Lepisosteus oculatus: one gene and its partner. The protein of the gene in region 1 interacts with the protein of each later gene in a pairwise test. Links are inferred from orthologs where the notes say so. Each region holds a gene or a part of one and is shown on either strand. Other genes may lie near its edges. The genes, in order: itsn2b and larp6a.

Region 1 (12,653 bases):
GTCAACCTGTGTGCAGCTGAGCTGTTTCACATGATTTACACCTGCGTCTTTATCGTCATTGCAAGGCACTGAAGTGTGCTGAGCAGGGACACTGAGCTGTAGGTGATGCCTTAATTCAGATGAGATGTTAAACTTAACTTACCTAAACTAGGTAATTGAATATCCCATACTACTGTTCAAAAAAGTATGGCTGTTAACCCTCTTGTCCTATTAAGCTATAAAGCTAATAAAGCTACAAAGCTAAATTCCACTCTAAGCTTGCCAAATGCAAAGAAATCTTATTTGTAGAACTGATAACGCTGTACTGATAATTATATAATTAGACCAGCTCTGTACTTGAAAGTTCAGGTGAAACAACAGAATAAACCAAAAGACACTAAGCTCTCCAGTAATAAAGTTTGAGAGGCCTGCTGCATACTAAAATAAGTAGAAAATAAGACATGTCACAGTACTTTCCAGCCATAGCTGTAAAGCAGAATTCTAAGATTTTATTGGGTAATTACATTTCACCTTCACACACATCAAAGCAGTAGGCAAATGCAATAAACTAACCACAACATACATTCATTATCAGAGAGCACCTTAATTCTGGTAAGGACATCAGAAAACAGGAAGCATAAGGGTGAACAATGTCCAGGAGAAGATACAAGTCTATCGCAGGGCACGTGAACAGAAGCACACAGAACACAGGGATCGTTTAGATTCGAGGCACCTGCTCACCAAGCCAGTATATCTTTGGAAGGTGAGAAAAACTCTCATTCTCTGGCAGTCCAAGAAAACCCAAGTGATACTGAACCTGCAAAATATGGAAACTCCACAAAGAACGGATCCCATTTTGCAATCAGACCCAGGATTCAAGAGCTCTAAGGCAGACACAGGAACTGCCAAGCCACCCTTAATCACAAAATAGTGCTCGCAAGCAAAGCAAACCAAATTCAATACAATGTCTGCATTCAGGCCACACACAGAAACCGTAGTGTTTCCTTTCACTCAGACCACGAGTCCCTTTACTTTACTAGCTCCCCTCCGGCTCTCAAAATCTCCAAAGTCTGTACTGAGGTCACCAGTGTTTTAGTTATTCTAGTATTTACAGCTTTCACTTCTACTTCTCCTCTCTCCACCTTCACTTACATCAGTGTGGGCAAACCCAAAGACTATAGGGTCCTGTAGTTTTCACTGTACATCAGAACTTTAAATGCATGATTGTTTTATTTTGGCAAAAAGTGAAATAATCGACCTAAATAAATCTACCCACTGCCTGTTTCAGAAAATATGTTCTGTGGGCACACCTGCTGTTAAATTTGAGATGACAAAAACTGGGAAATATGATTACATATTTGCATTATAAAATAATTTATATTAACACTGGAACCTATCCAAACAATTTATTAGTCACACGGAGCAGCTTTGCTTCTTGAATCAGGCTAATTGATTGATGTAAAAGATGTATTTAAAGGCAAGTAGTTCAGTTAACAATAAAAAACACAGGCTAGTAAGCATACACATGTAGCTTTATTCATTATTTCCTATATTTTTTAAAAAAATACAACACTCTGAAAACTTCCACACTTTTAATGATATCCTTCTAAAGACAGGTTGGCTTGGTTAGATTAAAAATTAATGCTCTGAAAAAAAGAGATGAAAATATGAATGAAAACTCAAAGCTTACAAGTTCGGTATCATAAAGACTGAAGACATATAGCCAAGCTATGTATGATGTGCAGTTATTACATACTGCTGATCACAGTACACTGACAGTACAATAAATTATAAAACTAATGTTGTGCTGCAAATCATTTAATAGGAGAATACAGTGTAATTTCTTCAAGACATATGCCACTAAAGTGCATGTCAGATTAACACCTCTGGTAAAAGGGCAAAACTAATAATATAACAATAGAATTTAAATAGAAAGTATGCCTGATGTTAAATTGTAATGCTTCCAGTTGTACTGATTCTTCTGTTATTGTATGGGCAATGTGCCATTTTCAATGTACAGTATGTATCCACTGCAAACACTCCCATTAGGTGTGTTACCATATTCCTGTTCTCCAAACAAATGCTAAATGCTAGCTTTTCTGTTGCATACATACCTACATTTGCATTTATTTAGCTAGTTGAAAGAATGTTAGAAAAACAAGAAAGTTTAAAAGACCACTGTCAGCATTTAATAATGATCCCAAACACCAACAAAGCAGACATTAGCTTTAACCTGCATCTCTGAAAACCTGATCTACATGCTGAGAGAAAACATCTGGTAGAACTGGTTGTTTTCCATTCTAATCAGTATTCCTCTCTGAATTCCAGCCTTGAAAATGTTATGCAAAGTGCATTTTGTCCTACAGAAAAATCACTGCATATCTGCAGCATTACACAACTAAAAATCTTTTTCAAATATGTTTACTTTAAACAAAGTGTGGAGACTAAAAGTTGCTAAAATAGCTAAATATTTTTTTTTAAAATATGCAGGCAATGCTAAAGTAAACTCCATGAAACATGATTACAATTCCAAACTTGCCAAACTGTGTGAGGATAAGTTTCAGTTCATGTTTAAAAATCATGTTTGCCTGCATTAATAAAAATGTCACATTCTTACAGACAACTCGCTGGATCACTGAGCAGTAATATCAATCAATCTGTTTCAGGGTATGTTACTACCTGCTTGTGATAAATTACTATATCTCAGCTGAAGATATAAAATCAATATCTTATTTTTGTGTTCTACTACATTCTCTAAAATGAATCTCATGCAATCACTCCCACATAAAACCTACTGACCTTATTGGCTATTTTTGGAGTTCTGAAATTTTGTATTTAATTCTGTTCTTTCAATAATCTTCAATTATCTTTATATTAGTATCACTTTCAGTATGACCTGTCATTCCTATGGAGAAGACAGCTCAATGCACTTTATTAAGTAATATCTTTGTGGGGCACACTCATGTTCAAATGGGTATAGGACCAGTTCTTGTGATTATGATTATTTTTCTAGCATCATTGGACCAAAGACTTCAAAAACACAATCACAAATCAGAGCTACAGAAGTAGCTATTCAGAAAATGAAAGCAAAGCAACTCAAGAATTTTCAATATTAAATTACATTAAGATACACAAAAGAAATACTGTATGTAGTGCTGCTCACTTACAGCCATGTAAGTATGTAAAGCACCTTGGAGATAAAATTGTTTTTGCCATTTTTCTTTGCTTCTGGTGTTCTTTTTTACTGTATTCTGATTGATGCGACTGAGGTTTTCAAAATCATGTGAGGCACAGACAAAGACAACAAAACAGACTTCTTGAGAACCAACAGCAAAACAAGAACCAAAGGACAAGTGGAAACTAGATAGATAAGAATTCAAAACAAAGAACAAGAAGCATTTCTTACACAGCGGGTTGTGGTAGTCTGGAACAAGATACCTAGCCATGCTACTGAAGAGAGTAACTTAGCTTCTTTAAAGAAATGGATAGTAAAAATGCTTTGACCAATCAGCTACTAGGAAACAAACATGAGCAGGTTCTGTTGTCAGTTTCTGTAGTTTATTCTCAGCGCAGTAATGCCTCCTTGTTCACAAACAGAATGATTCATTTGCTTATCTCACCCTTTGGATTAAAATGAGGGAAGATTCGTCATCCACAGAACTGAAAGTCATGTGTGACAACATCAGGCTTGCAACAATATTCACATATACACGTAGCACCAGTGAAAGTCACCAGCCAGCATAAACTAAAATTCTCTGAGGTGCAGACAAAGTCAAACCAATATACCAGAGCCATCAGTGAAACATTGACTACATGATACAAGTGCAAACTAAGGAGACAGGCACTTACAAATGAAAATGTTAGGCACATATTACACAAAGGGTTGTGGGAATCTGGAAACCAGAGACCATGTTGTTGAACCCAATAGCTCAAAAAATGGCTAGATAAAATACCCGAGTTAGCTACTAGCAAACAAACTAGCTAGATGGGCCAAATGGCATCCTTAGATTTGTAATGTTGCTTATGCTCATATCATATAAATCCACCCCTTTACGCACTGCAATTCATCAGTCAAAATACACATCCTCCTTCACTCTCTGGCTGCCACAACTCCTACACAAAACAGACAAACTCTAACTGTTCTGTATTCATAAGGAAGATGGTTTAAAGAGACACCAAAAGGGATTACAGTGCAGAAAAAGGAAAAATATCATCCTAGATCTACAGCAAATTCCTTCTCATCTTGTGGCTTGAGGTTATGAAAGTATTAACAAAGTGGACTGTTATCCTGTAACAAAATAATTATTGAATTAAACTCCCCAATATGTTCAAATACTCGAAGATACAAAGAAATAAGAGATTGGTTATATTCACATACACATCCTGGTCTGACCACGTGTAACATCGGATATGACCGCTTTAACTGACAACTGACGAACAGGATGCAGGAACCTAACAAGACTCATAATTTAAGGCACTGTTTTATTCTGGCTTTCTAAAAAGGGGAACACAAGGAACTTAAAACATTGTGTGTTGCATGATAAATTACTGTAATAAGTTCAGAAGTTAAAAAAATTCAGCCATGACTGAATTTTTTTAGTCCCCAGCTGCCCAGCTGCCCAAGACAACACACCTGTCTTGTGAAGTGTTAAAATATTCGAACCAGTTTCAGCCTCTTTTGCATTAAACAACACAAAGCCAATAGCAGTTTCTAATAGCACTAGTAATAGTTTAGAAATAGTAATAGAGTCTTTTCCACCCACCCCTTATTGAAGAGGACTGTATGGTGCATCTAAATGTCATCCGTGCAGGGACACAACAAACTAGATTCATGAATATTCTATTTTTATCTCTGACCCGAGATTCTCTTAGTCAAATAAGGAAAAGGGGGAGGATGGGATCCATTAATGAAAAACCGAATGAGTCTTCATTTTGATTTTTTTTTTCTCGCACAGCTTGCCAGGAAGAATCAAAAGTTTCCTGTTAGAAAGCAAGTGATTTCAAAGTAACAAAACGTCCAGATAATCAAACTGCTTTTCACTGTTCACTGTAAAACGTTTTAAAAAAATGCAAGAACCTGGTCGATTTTGCCACTATATACAGTACATTCCTGCATTAATTGAACAAATGCCCTTCAAGTGACTCACTAGACTCAAATTACTTTATCATTGTTTAATTTCCTAGTATTCATCGTGTTACAATTGTGAGGGTTCTTGTACTGACGCTCTAAACACGAAAAAAATGCTTAAGAAAAGTGGTTCGAAACATGTAGACCACTTTTTCTTAACATTTTAAAATACATGAAAGACAATTCAATCTCCAAAAAGAAAAGAAAAACAACCCATACATCAGAAGTGCAATAAAACAGTGTGTAAATGTTTCTAAAAATTGAAAATCATTATTCAAATTATTTCTTAAAGTCATGAAATTCATTAAATTCCTTATATAAAGCAGAGAAACCAGTGCAATGAAGTTTCATTCCTTTGCCTACTGCTGCAAGACACTTGCTTTAAATTCGCAACAACCTGCCAAGCGAGTCGTGAAAAGGAAATTTTCAAATATGTATTTCTTTACTGCTGCAACCACAATAAATGATTCAGAACATAAACCCCAATATATCAAGTAATCCTGTTTCTTATAACACTAGATTAAAAAAATCCTATGTATTCGTGCTTGTTTACATCCTCGCTTTCAATGTAACCGACAAGTTTCAATTTTAAAGCTTTAATTACATTACTTACTGATAAAATTCCAGCACCAAACTATGTTTATGTATATATACATAGAATATGTTCCTTGGTAAAATAATTTATATACATATTGTATATGTATAATGAAGTATTCATAATTCTTAAATTTACTTACTTTTCGTGGAAGGACACCAAAAATATTTTGGATTTGGTTTAATCCCGACTCTGGAAAATCTCCATTATCAACAAATGTTCTCGGTCAAAATAAGTAATTAGACGTGAGACTCAATGTTTATTTCCAGAAAACGTGCTTCAGTCTTGTACCTGTTGCTTGCTAGAAGCAGCACTGTAGTATTACACCAACAACATGGCTGACAACACGGAGCCTGATTACTATTCAACCCCAGGATGGGAGGGGAAATCTCATTTTTGCAACCTTGCACATACTGCCCTCTCACTGTTCAGGTACGCATCACACCCAGCCTGTCTTAATAGCAAAAAAGCTATGCATTGTCAGCATACCTGCAGGACTACGCCTTAAAAGCTATCCGTGCAAAAAATAAAATTGGTTGAAACAACAGATACTCCTTTTTAGTTTTAAAATTATATTTATTCACATCTCAGATTTTTGATGATAAAATAAATTCATTCAAATGTGGCTGCATGATATACTGTAATGTACTGAAATTACTAAATCTGACTTTGCAAGGCATTGGAACTCAAGTTGGTGGAGATTATACACACACTAAAATGTACTGCTTTATGATAATATCTAGTAGAATAAGACAAAAAAGAGTGAATACAGTGCCTGGCAGTACAAAGGACGACAAAATTGAACCAAGTTAAAGAAGGTAAAAAGTATTTGCCTAAGCGCTTTGTTCTTGAATAAGCAACAACAGTAAAGCAGGCTGTATGATTTACTTTATGATGTACAAAAGGCTTTTGATAAAAGTTTCCCATAAAAATAAATTCTCAAATTAAAAGTTAGTTGCATTTGGGGAAACTTCAGTTTTGGGATTAAGAACTGGTTAATGGACTGAGAGTAGAGAGTATAGAAAGGGGAAGATTGTTCAAACTGTGGTGATGTAATTAATGGAGTGCCAATGTAATAGACTTTAGATCATTTACAAATGTACAAATTAGTGTGTACATCATACAATTTCAACCTAATATTTTTTTATCCACTATATATACAGTACTAGCATGGGGTGGGCTCTCCTGGTCCTGGAGACCTGGTGCGTCCGCAGGTTTTTTAAGGTCTCTTTAAAGCAGCAGCACCTGAAGAGCAGGGTTATGGTAATAAATCAATCTACTTGAACAACTAAACAGCTGGTTTACCATGTTAAAGGCTGGAATGAAAACAGAAAGAGACACCATTGTTCTTGGAACAGAATAGCTGTGCTACAATGAGCTGCCATTGCTCTGCTGTGAAGTGGGGTGACAGGTCAGAGCCTATGACTCCTGATATACAGAAGGCATACTGTGAACCCTTGAGCATTAACTGTACTATTTGTTGAGTCTTAAGGCATCCTTCTACAGCCCATTTTATTCGGGATATTGGATTAAAATGTCTATTGAAATCACCATAGGAAGAGAAGACAGCAAGGTCCAGCTTCTCTGAACTTTAATTATTCAGTGCTTTAAGCCTGTTTCTGATGCATATGTAAAATTCACTTTCCTTGAGCCAGGACAGGGACAAGGCATGTACAGGAAAAGTGGATGTCATGGGGATCTTGGTGATAACATTATGCCTGTTGAATAGGGACCAATGTCCCCACTTCATGAGGTTAGAAGTACAGCACCTAAGTGCCAAACCTAAAACCTTTGTCCTGGTTGCCCAAGAAAGACCAAGATGTCTGGGTCTGTTTTATTCCAAAGAAATTCAAGGACTCCAAGTCCTCATCATAATAGAATGAATATCACCCTTCTGCTACTCAGTTAGCACACTTGTCTGTCTCTGCCTTAGAGTCATTGAACGCTTGAAATCTACAATCAAGACGTTACAGAGGAGAACCTGCTACATGGACAACTCAGAGGTTTTCTTTTTGGCACTGACTCATAGGTTGACAGCTCTGTATCTCTTAACTTCTCTTAAATAAGTAGGAGGGAGAGAGAAAGTAAGTTGCCTCTCACAGCCTGAGGGAATATTTAAGGACTGTGATTTCTGGGCCCAACTGTGGCTATGCAATTCTATTTGGCTTTAACAAGCAAGAACTGGCTGCACCGTTGTCCTTTAATTATAGTTTGCTTTAGTTTTCAAAAAGGCTCTTCTATGAAAAGTTCTAATTCTTTAACATTTTTATTGAAGGTTTTCAAAATGCCAAGTTTACTTTAATTTCCACAGAGTTCTTGAAGGAAGAAATAGAGCGACGCATTGTTTATGGACTACATTACCCATGATGCAGCCGGAGAGCAGGGAACCGGAAAGTACAAACGTAAATGTTGTTGAAGCAAATCGGAAGAAGTGTTGTAAGTGTACTTTTTTCCCCCCATAAATGAAGATGGAGTAATTGGTTTATGCTAACTTGCTTAGCATTTAAAAATGTAAATGTGTTTCATTGTGCTTTAGTCTTTCATTTACTTCACTACCGAGATACACGTGGGATGCTGTAAGGCTTAGTACTTTTTTTAAAAAAAAAATACATAAGATAATCATTTGCGATCCGCACTGTTGAGATATTATTGCAGTTCCCACCTGAATATGTTCGGTAAGAAACCAAAGAGAAACTTCAGGAGGAGGAAAGGAGATTCGAGCGGAGAAGATGAGCCTTCACAAGAAGAGCAGGGAGAAGCCACTGACGAGGTGAAGGTCTCGGTTGCTCCCCGGTTACTGAAGTATCCGCAGAGCCGGGGGATTTCCTGCACGTCTAAGCGGGAGTCCGGGAGCTCCAGGCCGGATTCAGTCGCCGGACAAAATCCGCACACAGAAAATGTAAGCGAAGATACGGCTGCGGAAGACGCTGCTGAGAAGAAACTGACGAAAAATAAAATCACTCTATTGAGTTTCGGTGATGAAAAACAAGGTACGCCCCAGTATTTATATTTCTGCGTGAATCTGATGTGGTACATGCACGGAGACAGCCTGCAGTAGATTCTGCAGATGCAAATGACATGCATGGGATCTCTTCACAGAATTGATATTTTAGCGAGCTGTCGCTGTGTCGCGAGCATAACCCAGGTGAAGCAGAAACGAAGAATATCTGTTTAAGCCAAGACACAGTAGGGAGGGTCATCGCTGATCATGCCTAGAGCTCAGACCTGTGCTGGAGTCATTATTGAACCATGCAGCCAAAAAAGGGACTCAAATATAACGTATGTTCCATTCTGATCTATAATTGCATTATAGAAAATGTCATCAAAAGCCTGCTATTGACATTGTTTTGTTGTTTTTCGTTTCTGTTCTTTGCATTCAATTAATGTGCACGTTTTTTTTTTTTCCTAACCTGCTGGTGTATTTTCATTTCAGTGGACGAAGATGACTTCAAGGTTAAAAAGCCTGTTGCCAAGGCCGTCGTTTTCAAAGCGCGAACAAAAGAGATCAATCCTCCCGCTTTTAATTCACAAGGTAAATTGCCAACTGCGTTCTTATGGTTTCATAACAACGGATGTGTATGTTAGCTGTTCGACGTAACAGGGCTCGGTGGCACTGTGTATTTTCCTGAAATGATGTCATCGTTTCTTGAAACGTTCATCATTGTAGAAATCTGGGGTGATAGAAAACCTGGTCTTTGGATTCGAGCAAAGTTTGCTACTTTTTATGGGGTGGTACAGTTCAACTGTGGTAAAAAAGAAATAATTTGTTACATTTTATATAGCGCTTTTCCAGACACTTTACAGGTAATGATAACTCATCTCCACCACCGGCAATGTGCAGATTCACACTTCACATACCTTAACTGAGTTTGTGTGAAAGTGGTCTGAGGTTTGTTTTCTTGGTTAACATCCTTATTTTTAGGGGGAATTGGTTCGCTTGTGACTACACTGCAATAATAATGTGTAGTAATTTGTTCATTGTGTTAGATGCAAAATTATTTTTTTTTCCGTAGTCTTGAATGGAGAAGTCTAGAAGCCAACATGATTTGAGTAGTCTGGCCTTGGTTAATCCTGGAAATGGGAGACCTCCAAGAAAAACCTGTTTGCTGTTCAAAGAGGTGTTGCTGGACCAGAGTTAGTGCATTCTAACTGGAAATGAGTTTCATTGCGTTTTGTTTGGCATTCTGTTACAAACTACTCAGCCATGTTGTTGAAGCGGGTTTCTTCAACATGGCTTCTTTCAAGAAATGGCTGGATGAGATCCTCAGGTCACTTAGCTACTAGTCACCCAGTGGGCTATGTAGGCCAAACTGCCTCTTTTTCTGTTAATAACCTTTTTATGTTCAGTGGCCTTATTTTATGTCTTTGATTTTGAAATTCATCTGGCTCATCTTTTTTAAATAGACTCTGCACTGTTTGCAGCTTTTGCAACCCTTTGTCTTTCAACCCCTGAGAAACAAATAGTAAATATACCATAAATATAGTAGATATTTGTATGTGTAAAATAGTTTTGGCGTGGTCTTAATGAATTTTTCTGTTATTCTGTTGCAGTTTGATTTATTTCCCAATTGACATTTGGTTTTCATGCTGTTCTCCATATAAACTGCACTTTACCGAGTGCAAAAACAATCACTACTCAAAACAGGCCATAAGATGAGCTCAGCTGAATGCCATTTAAACAAACTCTGAATTGGACTGAATACTCTTGGAGCATTCAAAACTAAACAAACCTCACTCAGTTAGGGGGAAAAAAACATCTCAAGAGAAGCAAAGCTCTTCACTGAAAATTAAGTTTCACATTTTATTATTAACATTAGCGAAAGGCAAGATGGGGAAATAGGTGAAATTATGTTACAGTCATACTACTGAGCATGTTATACTGAGGCAAAATGAAATCACTATTGATTAATTGCTCTGTAGTTGATTGGTAAAGAACTGGCATCAAGAATGAGCAAAACAGAGAATTATATGGTCCCCTGCGCAAGTAATGTTTTTATTTCTAAGTAACTGACTTAACATTAGTTCTGTAAATGTTTTTTTTGGAATGGAATGGGGGTTAAGATTGCTTCTTCAAAATTAAAAGATGTGAGTTTGACAGTTCCTGCTTGTGTTTTATAGGCCCCAAGGGTCCTGTTTCACAGAGTGACTGTGGGGACGATAAACCCGAAGGTGAAAAAATTCAGGATGGAAGCAACGATGATACAAGCTCCCAAAAATCTAGTTCTTCCAGCTCTTCAGTGTCTGATCCAGGTTTGTTGGAGGTTTCTCAGAAATTTTGAGCATTTTTTCCTCATTCTTATAATCTTTTAGAAAGTAAGTGATGAATTGGTCTTCAGTATTGCTCTATCGTTGTCATCTAAAATTTCCATTCCGGAAAAGTGTTTTCGACAAGTGTCCAGGATAATATTCCATGGAGGTTTAGAGGCGTGTATTTCAATGCTTCGTCTTTCTGAAGCTAGTTTGTAAAAAAAAAAAGTTTACAGACCAGACTGAACTTAACTCGCCTACCTGCACTGTGGCTAGACAAATACTGAGGCATAAAACCAAAAACCAAAAAAGTGTTGGTTTCTTGAACTCCTTTCTCAGACATCCATATGTGAGATTGCAGTGGGGGCTTTTGACACCTTGTATGTATATAGCAAGTAAGATGAATCTCCTAAATCAACGGCTTATGAAGAACTTAATAGGTGTAATGTGTTCTAAAGTTTCTGTAATTTGCATGTAGTCTTTTAGCTGCTGGCTTTTGGGTGTAGTTTATTTTTACACACGGTGTAAAACTTTGATCAGCGCAGGTGATATCCCTGATGCTCTACAAATTGAGGCTGCAAGAAGGCAACGTAAGCTGGCTAGAGCACGGCAGGACTATATTCCTCTGGCCACGAGACACGGGAGCAGTCCAGTGTTAAAAGATGAAGAGGAGGAAGACAGCGATGATGAACCCGATGACCACCAGCGGAGAATTCCATTTGCACCTAAACCGAAGACCCTGAGACAGAGAATAGCTGAAAAGATGAGTGAGTGAGGCTGTATAGTAAACTTTCACAAATCTGGCGAAGTTCTAAATGATAAAAATTGATGTGTGAGTACCGTTATTCTAACAGGATTAAAGCTATAAGGTGAATGGCCGTTTATAGAATCGTGAGATTTTGGAGGTTTGGTGATAAGCTAGTGTCCCAGCAAACCCGGTTTAATTTCCCAGCTCTGACTCAACTGTCACAACATTGTTTTTTTGTTAATTTTTACTTGCGCATTGGACAGTGGGTACATCAGACCAAGTCCTTAATTTGTTTCTTAGGAGGGTATCGGAAAGTGAAAACTTGTTTGTTTTTTACATTGCGCAAACTTAAAGGGTAATGACGTTTGATCCTCTGTTGAACTAGACCGCTGTTTTATGTGGACCCTAGTCTCCGTGGTTTATCGGCATTCTGATGTCATCAGTTTTCACATTTGTCAAAATGAACAGAAATTAGCAGCAAAATACACTGTGCAGATCAGGTTGTCTGGGGGAACTAGGTGTGTAGAGTCCATTGCAATGCTGCAGTAATAAAATGCATGTTGTGATTTACAAGCAATGTTTTACAGGGAAGCTGTTATTTAGACTTTCCACGCACTTAACCTTCCCCCTGTTCCCTGGATGTTTTTACTGTATTTTGGAAAAAATGTAGCTTTTGGAAAGACCTGGCTGTCTTGTCATGTTCTATGCCTTACACACTTTTCCTTGGGAAAATCACAGGTGAGAGCGGTAGTGAGGATGAAAGATCAAATAGCCAAGATGAGGATCAGAATCTGTGGGTGGAACAGCAAATTGGAAAAGGAGTGAAGAGACCTCAGGTGGGACTCCCTTCTGTCTTGCTTTTGTCTTTGTGCCGTTAATATTTTAAAGCTCTGAATTTAACTTTTCAAATGACTATAGTGCAGATTATAATTAAAGCTCTTAATAACTTTTGCTTC
Region 2 (12,435 bases), on another chromosome or scaffold:
AAATTTGGCCAGGATGCCGGGGTTACACCCCTACTCTTTTCGAGAAACACCCTGGGATTTTTAATGACCACAGAGAGTCAGGACCTCGGTTTTACGTCTCATCCGAAGGATGTGTAAATGGGGTCCATTATCATGTCTGATGGCTGCTGGGGGCTTGATTTTCTTCACACCCCCACGGAAGCCTAACTGACAGACTGGATTCTCCAAGCAGCAGTGCGGTTGTCCAAGTGCCCCCCAGGGAAAGTTTAGGATCAGACTGCTTTGGCTCCAGACTTTGCCAGCAGTCCTGCAGCCTCTTGGGCACTTGGCACTGCGAGGGTACAGCAGAGAGGGGCGCACCTCTCCTCCAGCCGGCAGAGCCCCACAGCATGCGGCATTGGAAAAAAAAAAATCACGCATGCGTTGGGCTCAAAGGCGGCGAGGTCAGTTTGGCCACAGCCCCCAGTTCTCCTGTACACAGCTGCAGAGCTTGCAACCGAGCAAAAAAGCTGGACTCCATATTTTGGTTTTAGTTAGGTTTAACAAAACTGATAATTAAATGGTACAATAGTCCTTTACAATCAGTTACTTTTCGTAGTGCAATACTAATACAGACTAGAAATAATTTAAGCACTTCCCAGTTCCTGTAATATAGTGGCCAATAAGACCAGGCCTGTTAAACTGAGGGGCCCACTTGTGGCACAGGGTACCTTTTTGAAGGAGGTGAGCAGCTTGACACTGACGAAGCCCAGCTTGTTGCGGCGGACGTGCTTGAGCAGAAAGGCATCGTGCTCCAGGTTCTCATCCGACAGGTAGTACTCAATCTGCGCAATGAGCTTCTGGGTCAGCTCGGGGTCGGGGGGCTGCCAGCCGTCCTCCTCATTCTCTCCTCCGCTGGTCCCCGCGCCACTGGCCAAGAGAACAAGCTCTCACCACAAAGCAGCACTTTCCAGACTCAACCCGCAGTGAGTCTGTACCATTTGTCCACTGAGCCAAGTATTTAAACTTTCAGTTCTTCAACCAAGGACTTCCTTGGCTCTTGAGAGGCACAGCATCCTCCTGCTCATGTTGAGATCCCAATAACTTCATTGGCTTTCATCACAGCCAGCACAGGATTTGTAAACCATTTAAAAATGAAGACGACACGGAACTGTTCAGTACCTTGCTTATTCAGAAAAAGAAAACCCAGATTTTTGATTAAATGATTAAAAGCACTAACTTTCCATTGTAGAGGCTGCATTTCCTATTACCTTCTTGCTGGTTCGGCACCTTGAATAGATGAACAGAACCCTCATCAAAAATTGGAAATACATTTCCAACACTATGCAAATGCTGGTAATCGCAGTACTATGAACATCTACAGCTCACAAAACTACAAACGATGCATTACCTGCACACATGTAACTGCTGCATGTTAAAAACATCCATCTCTAATATTTAAATCTTCAGAATTTTACAATAAACCAGACATTAAGATTTTTAATTTAAAAGCACTTGGTTTGGTCAGTTAACTTGAACACGTTCACTACTCAAAGACCTGGAGCTATAAAGGCAGAAATGAAGTTGCTTTCAGGACTTCAGTATCAACAGCATGAGTACCTTCAGACTACTTCCCCTCCCATCTTAAACTGCTCACCCACTCTGCTGCTGTGTTTATACACCTCTTTGCCAAGTACACAGGGACTTCCCACACCTGCCAGAATCACAACGGGTCCCAATCCTACTGGGAGAGGGAGGAGGGAACTCAGTTGAACTGGCAGCCCAGTATGTGATCTCCTGTCCCAGCCTGAGGAACAGTGAGTCTGTCTCCCAATAATGTTCCTTCTGTCTGCAGTATATGTAAATATTTTATGTCATTGTTGTAAGTGTCTGTAGATTAGTTATTTTTTGTTTCATGTGAATTTCATTTTATTTGCTTTGGCAACACTGACTGTACCCATCAGCCATGCTAATAAAGCACCTTGAATTGAATTGACTCCTCAAACAGTTCACAGGACTTTATCTGGATGAACCAAAAGCTTTAATTCACTAGGTTCACCCCAAGGTAACTGTACACACCAGGCACACTGCCGTAACACTTGCTCGTAAAATCAGTTCTGCCCACGACGAAAATCGATAGAACTGGGAGGAGGGCTACTGCAGAAAATGCTTTTCAGCTCCCTTTCTAAATACAACAGGACAGGCCTGCCTGAGGTGAGACCAGACACTTCGACATCAGTGGACCTAGGGAGCTCTAATTAACGTCTGGGGTAGAGAGCAGAACCAGCTGTGCAATTACTGTTCATTACAGCAACAGACCGGAGCCTCCCCCACAGCGCCTCCGGCTCCTGCGATCACAAGACACCACAAGCGCAACGTGAGCGACAGATTCTACACGGACGCCATGTGATAAATCAGATGGCTAACAGCTCTTCAGATTTCAAAGCCCGACATATTTCACTCCAATCCAAAACCAATTATACTCCCTGCCAGTACATGTAATCATGAACTAAGTTGCCTGTACTTTGAAAGGTTACTAGCATAACCAAAAGATGACGCGTTACAAAAGCTTCGAATAAAGCTGCTGAAGTCTCCTATTCAGTAAGAAGGCTCCGTATTCAGTGGTCTAGCCTGTTTACTATTTTGCTCGCCGCCATGGCGCAGCTATTTGAATTAAATACTTGGTCCTACACACTTAAGTGTGGAAACGGTCACTCCCCGGTCATCCTACAGAGACGCCTCTCATCTGCGTCATAGCTGTTTGATGACGTCGTCAAATTCAGGCTTATACTGCATCTCCAGTAGGATTAGCTACTTAAAAACGCTCTGGGACTCAGGGGGATACCCCCCCCCACATAAAAGGGAAAGGATTCGAAATCTGTAGTAGCACCAACCCCCTTCTTGCACAGCCTGTTGCAGTTGGTGTAGAAGAATGCTGATGTGCGCCCTTGAGGATTAAACTGCCGGGGTGGATCTCTCCCGTTTACCAGAACACCCCTAAACAGGACGACGACCTAGTGTACCACTGAGGTGCTGTAAATCCCGAGCATTCACACCTGGAGAACTCGTTGAAGTAACCAATATGAAAAGCTTAAGAAACAGGAAGGATTCTTCAAGAACGTACTGAATAAAAACAGGGTTTAGGGCACCGCATGGTTTTGGTCTGCTACAAGGTGAAAATGCGAGCGCTGTCTTGGTTTATGGTCTGTCGGATCTGGCGATGCTCATTTCTTTTACGCAGCACAAAGCATAAACTGTTTATTCCCCAAAACAGTTTCCTACCCACTACAGGCCCCATGCAAAACGCCATTTAAACAGCTAGCAGATATGCAACCTCAGTTAAAACACGCAGCATCGGAGACGTAAATGCTGCCAATTTAATCAGATTAAATGCTGAACAAGAAAACAATTGCGCCATACTAAAAATAAACGCTTGCTAGAGGCACCGCAATTTCACATCTGGATGCTCTAAGTATATTCGGTTTAGAAACGACTAAAGGTTACAGCAGAAGACACCGCTACAGAGCGCTCGCCCTCAGATGTCATCCGACGGCGTTCGCTTTGCAAGTTTAGTGGTCAACCCGCCACATTGGGCAAGATATGCGTTTATACAGGTGGTCGAAGAGGAGATCCCCTCCAGACACTCCCGGCGTTTAAAAACTGTTCGTACCCTTTTTATAGTTTACATCGGCAACGCATTTACACCCAGACTAAACGTAACAAGTGTTAAAACAACTGGTTTTACTGTGTGCCTGTTTACAATTACGGCAGTTACACTGATTTTACAATGACAACAATATACCTGGACTTATCGTGTCTGCCCATTTCGTCCTCGCTACAGCTGCCTCCTCTGAAATACAGGTGATCGGGGACCAGGTCGCCCTCGGGGTCTTCGTCCTCCGCCGCTTGGATAGCCACGCGGATTTTCACCTGGGTCCCCATCTCCTGGAGCTGTTGGCCCCGCGGCTCCCACTCGGACCCGGGCTCCGGGCGGCTCGGCGTCTCCATCGCCGGGCTAGCGAGCCCAGCCTCCGCCAGAACCGCGAAATCCCCGGGTTCCTCTTTCGCGGTTGCCTCCTGACCGACTTCAGGTGCGGACGTGCCTCGCTCGGTGCTCGCACAAGCCACCGCGTACGTGCTCCGTGAACCCCAGGTCTTGGGGGACAAGCGCTGGGGGAACGCGAGCGGAGCCCCGAGGTTACGCTCAAAAGCCTGCCAGAGCTCCCAGATTCTCCCTAAAGGAGATCCCGGGGGCGGCGAGGAGGCGACTGCTAGCGAGACGCACCTAGTGTTAGGGGAAGAGGAGGGGACGGGAGCGTCTTCTGCTCTTACTTCCTGATCTGTAAGAGGCTTTCTCCCTTTGAAACGAGCCCTGGGATTGGGCAGCACCGTCTTTCTGCACTCATCCCCAACCCACCAGCAAAAGCCGAGCTGAAACCAGGGGGGAGGCAGGAGCAGCGAGAGGCAGCGCAGAAACGCATTTACCAAAGCGTGCATCTTGTCTCTCGGTGCTCGGGGGAGACGACTGCGGCCGAGCGTGTCTACACGCACGCAATATAAGTAATGTAGGGGGGCCCTCACCGCGTTAAGTGGTTGCAACATACAACAAGCGAGAAACGGGCAACGCGCCAATCAAAGGTGCCGATCCACACAATGTTTCGCAGACCTGCAAATTGGATAATGAGATTTCATTTTAAGAGCAGAGCGGGATTGCGAAGGGATTTGACTGTGCTGGAGACTAAAAATAAATGTAGATTTCAGATTCTTGGTTTGAAGACGCCTGTGGACACAGGGTAGGCCTAATACAGGAGTCACATTTTATTCATTTGGTAATCTTAATCTAACCTGGTTGTCAATTAGCGATTTTATTACTCACAACAGATTAAAAAAAGCTTGTCAATGCCAGCCGGAGCGTTATAAAAATCACCTTATCAACATGGAGATATCGTGGACGTTTTGTTGAATGTAAACAGAAATTTTCTTAGTCTTCTTGAGGCTTAGAAGAATAAACGAATAAGATCGACCTCTAGATCAAATTGCTGTTATCTGTTTTTTAGAATAATTTCAAATATTTTTAAATTATCAAGAAGCAGGAATAATACCAGAATTATACATTATTTCCTTGAATGTGTAATTTTAAATTTGACCACAATTTAAGACTCAGAGCAGGAAACAAGTCTTTACACCAAGGGTGTTAGGAGTCTTCTCTTAAAGAAAGTGCCATTGAGTCTCTATTTAAAGAGAGTACCCACCACCCCAAAAGCAGGCTCTTTGAGTTTGTCTCAGTTTAACTGAAAAATTTGCAAGACAGCTCTTGGGAAGATCATTCTGCACATTCATTTCTATATCTGAAGGCTGTTACTTTTTTATCTTGTCTTATGTCTTCTGCTACAGACAAAACTGAAACTGATAAGTCATCCCATTTGAGACCTGAATCTAACAACCAATTCCTATGATTCACTGCCTGTGATATGTTGTTAATAGCTGTAGTGCTTTGAATTCCTGATAAAGGGATTATTTTAGTCAGCACATGTCCTAAGTGTGGTAGCTCTCAGTATGTCAACAAAAACAGAACACTTTCAGCACTGAATGAGGTAACACATTTGCTCTGCCAGGCCAGTGACTCACTACAGCAAACTATCCTGCTGACTGTCCTTCTCTGGAGGGTTGGCTGGGGTGTGAGGGGTGGGGCAGTGCCCCAGAGGGGTGTGAGGGGTGTGGCAGTGCCCCAGAGGGGTGTGAGGGGTGTGAGGGGTGTGGCAGTGCCCCAGAGGGGTGTGAGGGGTGGGGCAGTGCCCCAGAGGGGTGTGAGGGGTGTGGCAGTGTGGTAGTGCCCCAGAGGGGTGTGAGGGGTGTGGCAGTGCCCCAGAGGGGTGTGAGGGGTGTGAGGGGTGTGAGGGGTGTGGCAGTGCCCCAGAGGGGTGTGAGGGGTGTGGCAGTGCCCCAGAGGGGTGTGAGGGGTGTGAGGGGTGGGGCAGTGCCCCAGAGGGGTGTGTCAGTGTGGCAGTGCCCCAGAGGGGTGTGAGGGGTGTGAGGGGTGGGGCAGTGCCCCAGAGGGGTGTGTCAGTGTGGCAGTGCCCCAGAGGGGTGTGAGGGGTGTGAGGGGTGGGGCAGTGCCCCAGAGGGGTGTGTCAGTGTGGCAGTGCCCCAGAGGGGTGTGAGGGGTGTGAGGGGTGTGGCAGTGCCCCAGAGGGGTGTGAGGGGTGTGAGGGGTGGGGCAGTGCCCCAGAGGGGTGTGTCAGTGTGGCAGTGCCCCAGAGGGGTGTGAGGGGTGTGAGGGGTGTGAGGGGTGTGGCAGTGCCCCAGAGGGGTGTGAGGGGTGTGGCAGTGCCCCAGAGGGGTGTGTCAGTGTGGCAGTGCCCCAGAGGGGTGTGAGGGGTGTGAGGGGTGTGAGGGGTGTGGCAGTGTCCCAGAGGGGTGTGAGGGGTGTGAGGGGTGTGGCAGTGCCCCAGAGGGGTGTGAGGGGTGTGAGGGGTGTGGCAGTGCCCCAGAGGGGTGTGAGGGGTGTGGCAGTGCCCCAGAGGGGTGTGAGGGGTGTGGCAGTGCCCCAGAGGGGTGTGTCAGTGTGGCAGTGCCCCAGAGGGGTGTGAGGGGTGTGGCAGTGCCCCAGAGGGGTGTGTCAGTGTGGCAGTGCCCCAGAGGGGTGTGAGGGGTGGCAGTGTGGCAATGCCCCAGAGGGATAGCACTGGTCTAAGCGCAGACCTGGGACCTGCCCGTACAGAAGACAATATCATAGGACTGAACTGACGTCTGAGGTTTCAGACCTCGTTAACATTCCAAGTTGTCTCTGCTTGTCTGGGCTGTAATGGGTGTTTATGTTTCCTCTGCTCTGATCTCTTTGCATCATGAAGAAAGTATTGCTGTGTCACACATAAAAAAGTAGACACTGCATGAAATTCTGGAAAGCTAAACAAAAAAACATCTTGTTTAATTTAGTTTTCATTTGCAAACAGTTGCATGTTGATCCAGTTTAATTGACATATAGATGCTGTGTTATTAAAAGAAAAGCCAGTTTGCTGAACAGAGTTTTCTGAACATTTAGGACTGTAATATGGCCAGCGGTGGGTGTAGAAGCTTTGTGATGTTGTATAAATTATTAGCAGATGTACATTCATTTGGAAAACTGAGAAGCAGTGTGTATAGAATCACTAAAAACATATTTTCATAGTTTGAATATTCTATCTATTCTATTTGGAAAATGTATTTTGTATTAAAGATACAATACCTTGTTTAATAAAACATGTAGAAATTTCATCACTGTGATCTACTTTCAGTACTGTATTGAATTTTTAAAACATCTGTTTTTGTTAGCTAAAGCTGCACAGCTCTCGTGTCTGAAATGTACAGTATATGCTATTCAAGGTCTTTTTGTTTTGGGAAATGTTTTGACTGAGAGGTTCCTGGTGCTTTCATGTGCTGTCATTCCTGCAGCACAGAGGAGCAAAGATCATTGTGAGGCTGCCGGAGAGCCGATTTATGTTTCATAACAATCAGTCAGCTTTTTGTACAAACCTTTCTCTAGTGGTTATGAAATATTAGCAGATTTCTAAACATACTCTTTACATTTCAGAATGAGAAACATGATAACAATTGTGAGACTATAATTTAAAGACTCATCCACACAGCTTATAACATATATTTACATATATTTTATTATTTAATTCTACAATTAATTTTATCATATATGAACTTTTTCAGGAAATGCTATGTAATTAAAATTTAATTTGGGTTACTTGAACTGGTTTCACTGAGAGTAGGAAACCTATTTTCACATTAACAAGATATATTATAATAAAGTAAAAAAAAAATACTGAATTATTTCTGATTTTGCTCTAAGTGATTATGAAGAGGCAGGCCTGACCCTTGATGCTTTGACTGCATTTCATTTTTAGGTTATTAACAGTCTGATTAGTTTTACAGAAGCATATATAGGACAGCTTTCTGTTTTGTGTTTTGGTAATGGGTTAATAAAACAAAGTGTATTCCCTACGCAACTGGGGACATTGATGGAAGCTGAGTTGTAGACACTATATTGATATCAGAACACAAAGTTAGTGAAACAAAAAGTGAGGTTAATGTTGAGATACAAAGTCATGTTAAAGTCAATCTTAACTCCTGGGTTCTTCACAAATCGACAGGCTGCTGTGTTAAAAGCTGGATTTCTGAAATTCATTATATTTCCCTGGGTGTTGTCGTAGTGCTTTAAGGAATGTACCTGTAACATTTATTTTCTTAATTCATTGTGTCCTTCAAGGGGACACCTCTCTTCAGTGGGGACCTTGGGGCTAATGTCACTCCCCACAGAAGAAAGAGCCATTGGAGTTTATGATTGCCCATGCTGTGAGTGTCATACTGTGGATGAACTGCATTGTCTTTAGCTGTAGTGTGAATATAGTAGAGGTGTACCTGTGAGGCTTAACAAGAAATGTTGAAATATGATGCCAGAGATTCCATGAGACAGACATGAGAGCTCGGTGCTAGGGGTATTCCACGGACCAGTACAAATCAGTCTAAATGTCAATAGATAGGGTGCTGGCTCAAAGAGCATTTTGGAAGTTCTGAAAGAGGATCTGCTGTGCACTTAAACCTTTTTGGGATGTAATGGTTATGACTTGCGCAGGTTTGTCATCCTGCTGCACCAAGGTGGCACCATTAGAAATTCAGTTTCTCCAAGCAGTGGAAACCCACCTGGCGTGCCCAGTCTGGACCGGGCCTGAACTCACTGTGACACGACTGGCCGAGCAGCAAGCCTGGCGGACCTGGGCCTCTCAATGTCTGCTAAGACCGTCTGTGCACCTCCAGGATTGCAGTGACATAAGAGAGGCTTGCCATCCCTCTGACTGCTTCTCTTGATTCGCCAAGGCGCTGTGGAGGGCGCACCTCGTCAGACGGGCGTGTCGTAACAGCATGCATGCAGCACAGGGCTTGTAGCTGGAAAGGCAAGTTGAAAGCTTGTCTGAGTGTAAAAAGGGGTTAGAACAAAGTTTAATTACCAGGTGCTTCATCAGTGCTTGAATTGAAAAGCCTTAAAGACCTTTTGGTGAGGTCACCTAGTATGACGTCATTTACTCTGTCTGTGATATCCAGGCCTCTTCTGAAATATATAGGGAGATAGCCTTAGGGTTTGGACTGTTGGATCCAATGAGACTTTATTAGTATGTTTTTTTTTTAATGCAAACTGCTATAGATTTTCAACTTGTTGTTATTCATTTGGCTGAGAAGATTAAGTTCATAAATGTCACCGAAACACTCATTTTGTGACTGTTGTTCACCCTGTACATTCGGTCAATTGCCATTAATAACTTCCTACATGTAAGTTTATTTTGCAAAAGGCATGATTTGTTGATTAAGCTAATTGACCATGGTGTTGAATGACAGTGCAAAACAACTGCACTACAATATTGTCATCAGACTGGTCCCAATACATAAATTGCAGCTGTGAAAAACGCATATCCTAAACTCTTCAAAATTCTCTTTCATCTGCGGATGATGCATATGGGACCAAGTTTGAACTTCTGTCCCAAAACAGAAACTTTAAAAGATTGGCACCAGCTGATCCAATTTTCGTGCCCTCTCTAACCAGTGAAGGTTTCCTAACAAAAATGATTATATTAATTGAATAAATGTGTCTTATTGTCTTACTTCTCGATGCAATTATGATCTTCATTCTCTCCACTGTGATATGCAATGGTTTTAAACAGATTCTGTGGAGCGCCTGATGTACGGAGTGCTGAACACAACTGAATGAACCCACTGAGCTACATGCCTGCTCGCAGACTGCTGTGTCAGTGCTCTTCCTGTGGGGCCGGGTTACGCCCACACCATATGTAACACTGTGACTTCGCGGAGGCGAACTGGGGAATTTCCTTCCTCCTACTCTCTCCAGCGCTGCCCGTCTCCCTCCAACTCTTAATTCCCCTCCCCCTCTCACGTTTGCTGTTTTCAAATACCAGGAAGAATTTTGAAGGAATCTCTACAGTCTGGCTGTTTGAATTCTGTGATATCTTCACAGCTTTATCATTATTTATTAATGACTTGTATGCACTGTGGTATTGTATTCTGTATTATTTTACATTTGTTTCAAAAGTGTTTTACTTCCTATTTGTATATTTTTTAATGGCAAGCAGAAATGTGCACAAATTCAAACGAGGTGATCCTTCCATTTTCAAGATTATTAGCTGTCTAGAAATATATTCAAACAAAAGATCTAGGTGTTTTATAAATATGAGAGATAGTAACTGACAGATGCATTTTGAAAAAAATTATCAGCATTAACAGACAGTTACAGTACACAAACAGATTGACATAACAGTGTTTTTTTACTTGGATCTTTTTAACTGTTTCTTGTAATCTAGGAGTGTTTGGGTTTGCTGTTGTGGTTCCAATAAAAATTTAAAGAAATAAAGTTTTGTCTGCCCACATTTTATTGAATTCTTCACTTCTTACCTTTTGCACATAAACACCTTTTTTACTGGGTTACCAAGAAATTGTATTCATGGGAGATTTACACTGTATCACACACTGCCAAAACAAGCATTACTGGTTTTCCAGATTTCACACACTTGGTTATGGAAGCAGTAGGCCTGAATGAGTGAGTTTTGAACTTAGTAGCCAGCTGTTCCAAGGATCTCATCTAGCCATTTCTTGAAAGAGGCCAGGACTATATGGCTGGGGAGCCTGTTCCACACTCCCACAACTCTTTGGGTAAAGAAGTGTCTCCTGTTACCAGTTTTAAAAGCACTTCTGTGTAGTTTCCACTGATATTTTTCTAGTTCATATTCAACAGCTTTAAAAAACTGTTTAAACAAACACTGTAAGGATTTCAGATGACTTATTAAATAAAATAATTTTGAGATATTGTATGGGACCAAATTCTGAATACTCTGGTCCTCCCCTCCCCAATTCTCTTAATTGAGCAGATTACTTGCTTAATTGCTCAATAATGCACAGCTGTTCCCGATCTTTAGAACCAAGTGACCTATAAAATTAACTGGAATGGGGCTTGTCAGGACCCATTGGATGCCCCTGCTCTAAAGGCTTGTAAAAAACGTATTCAAAGAGCTGCAGTATAACTGGCTCCAGTGCCTGTTAAAGTGTGTTTCATCTGCCACTGAATCACTGAGTGATATACAGCTCTTCATTCCCTGGTCACACTCACCATCTGAGTCAGGCAAGATATTTATAGACAAATTCACCCCAGGGGTCTCTGACAGGCCAATTCACCATACATACGGTAATAAATAAGAACAGGATATCTCATGTCATTTCTTGTTTCTTAGCAGGATGTCTTGTGTAGCTTAAGCGAGATATCCCACAGGTTTGTAGAATCCATTAAACTGAAGAATTCTTCTTATTTTTTTCCTCTGCAGTAAGTCTCATTTTGGAAACTAACTGCTGCTCTTGGCACAATTCCATCATTATTATTTGTTCATCTGACTTATGACTTCACCAAGCTGATAACCCAGTGCTGGAGATAACTCTTCACTCAATGAAAGGCAGAAAGATAGAACATAAAATCTCCATGTGCATTCTGAACAGGAGAACTGAGGAGTTTCTTCAGGACACTTGGGTTTGGTTAATCACTTCTCATGAATTCATATTTCCTGTCAAAGATTCTAAATTATGAGCAAATTAATAACAAACTATGTAATGTGCACACAACCTGCTGTTTGTACAAATCTGGTGTCTTACTTGGCACAATTGTGATAACTTCATAAGGAATTTGGAAGTTACCTGGACAAAAAGTAAGATGATTGAGTTATTCCCTTTATAGTCTTAAACAGAACAGATTTCTTTTCTCCTTTAAAACAGAATTGTCAAATTCTACGAATATAAAAGAATATTATCCATTTTTGAAGGTTCATGTAGTGTCCTTAACTCCCATCCTTCCTTCACTTACGTATTTCTGGAAAGGATTACAACAGCCCAGACCCTGTTCTTGAAGCCCAGGGCACTGGACAGGGCTACAGTCTGGAATGGATGCAAGCTATATACAAAAGGAATCACAGCCTGGAATTGAACCCAGGGCCCAGGAGCTCTGAGGCAGCAGCTCTTACTAACAGAGCTATCCCAACCTTACTGCCATAAGCAAAAAACTTAGAACAACACTTTCTTTATACAATAAAATGCATCTGCAGTTTTGTGTTTAATTATGACTCTGAAGTTATAATGTATGCACTTACGTCATGTCAAAGTTAACCACACAGAAACACAGGTGTCCAAGGAGGCTTTGTAATTTATATAATGTCCACTAGAGTACATACAGAAATGAATAATCTGAATTAAATTAAATGTCAGCAAAACTGACATTTTAAATTTGCCTTTTTATGAAAATGTCATGTTTACTATATGCTTTTTTTGAAGATTAGACATAAAGTCTTTCTTTGATTTCTACATGCATTCTCTAAGGAATTCTGATAGAAACTGTAAAGCGTAGACATAAGTTTTGCAAAGACAACACTAAGCACAGCCGGTCAG

What was found.
Region 2: the proteins of itsn2b (region 1) and larp6a interact in a two-hybrid assay, tested with the Homo sapiens proteins (2 studies listed by BioGRID, with this or other methods). The link is inferred for Lepisosteus oculatus from reciprocal best matches to the Homo sapiens genes ITSN2 and LARP6.

The regions. Positions count from the first base shown.
Region 1 is NC_090697.1:20,598,363-20,611,015, forward strand, and holds the start of itsn2b (intersectin-2), read right to left. Parts: upstream 6,045-12,653; 5' UTR 5,845-6,044; intron 1-5,844. Other genes in the region: intron Large complex component GCFC2, read left to right, coding at 8,371-8,692, 9,136-9,234, 10,821-10,952, 11,495-11,716, 12,436-12,533.
Region 2 is NC_090700.1:56,389,825-56,402,259, reverse strand, and holds the start of larp6a (la-related protein 6a), read right to left. Parts: upstream 4,501-12,435; 5' UTR 4,456-4,500; coding exon 3,761-4,455; intron 889-3,760; coding exon 690-888; intron 1-689. UniProt on the Homo sapiens protein: Regulates the coordinated translation of type I collagen alpha-1 and alpha-2 mRNAs, CO1A1 and CO1A2. Stabilizes mRNAs through high-affinity binding of a stem-loop structure in their 5' UTR.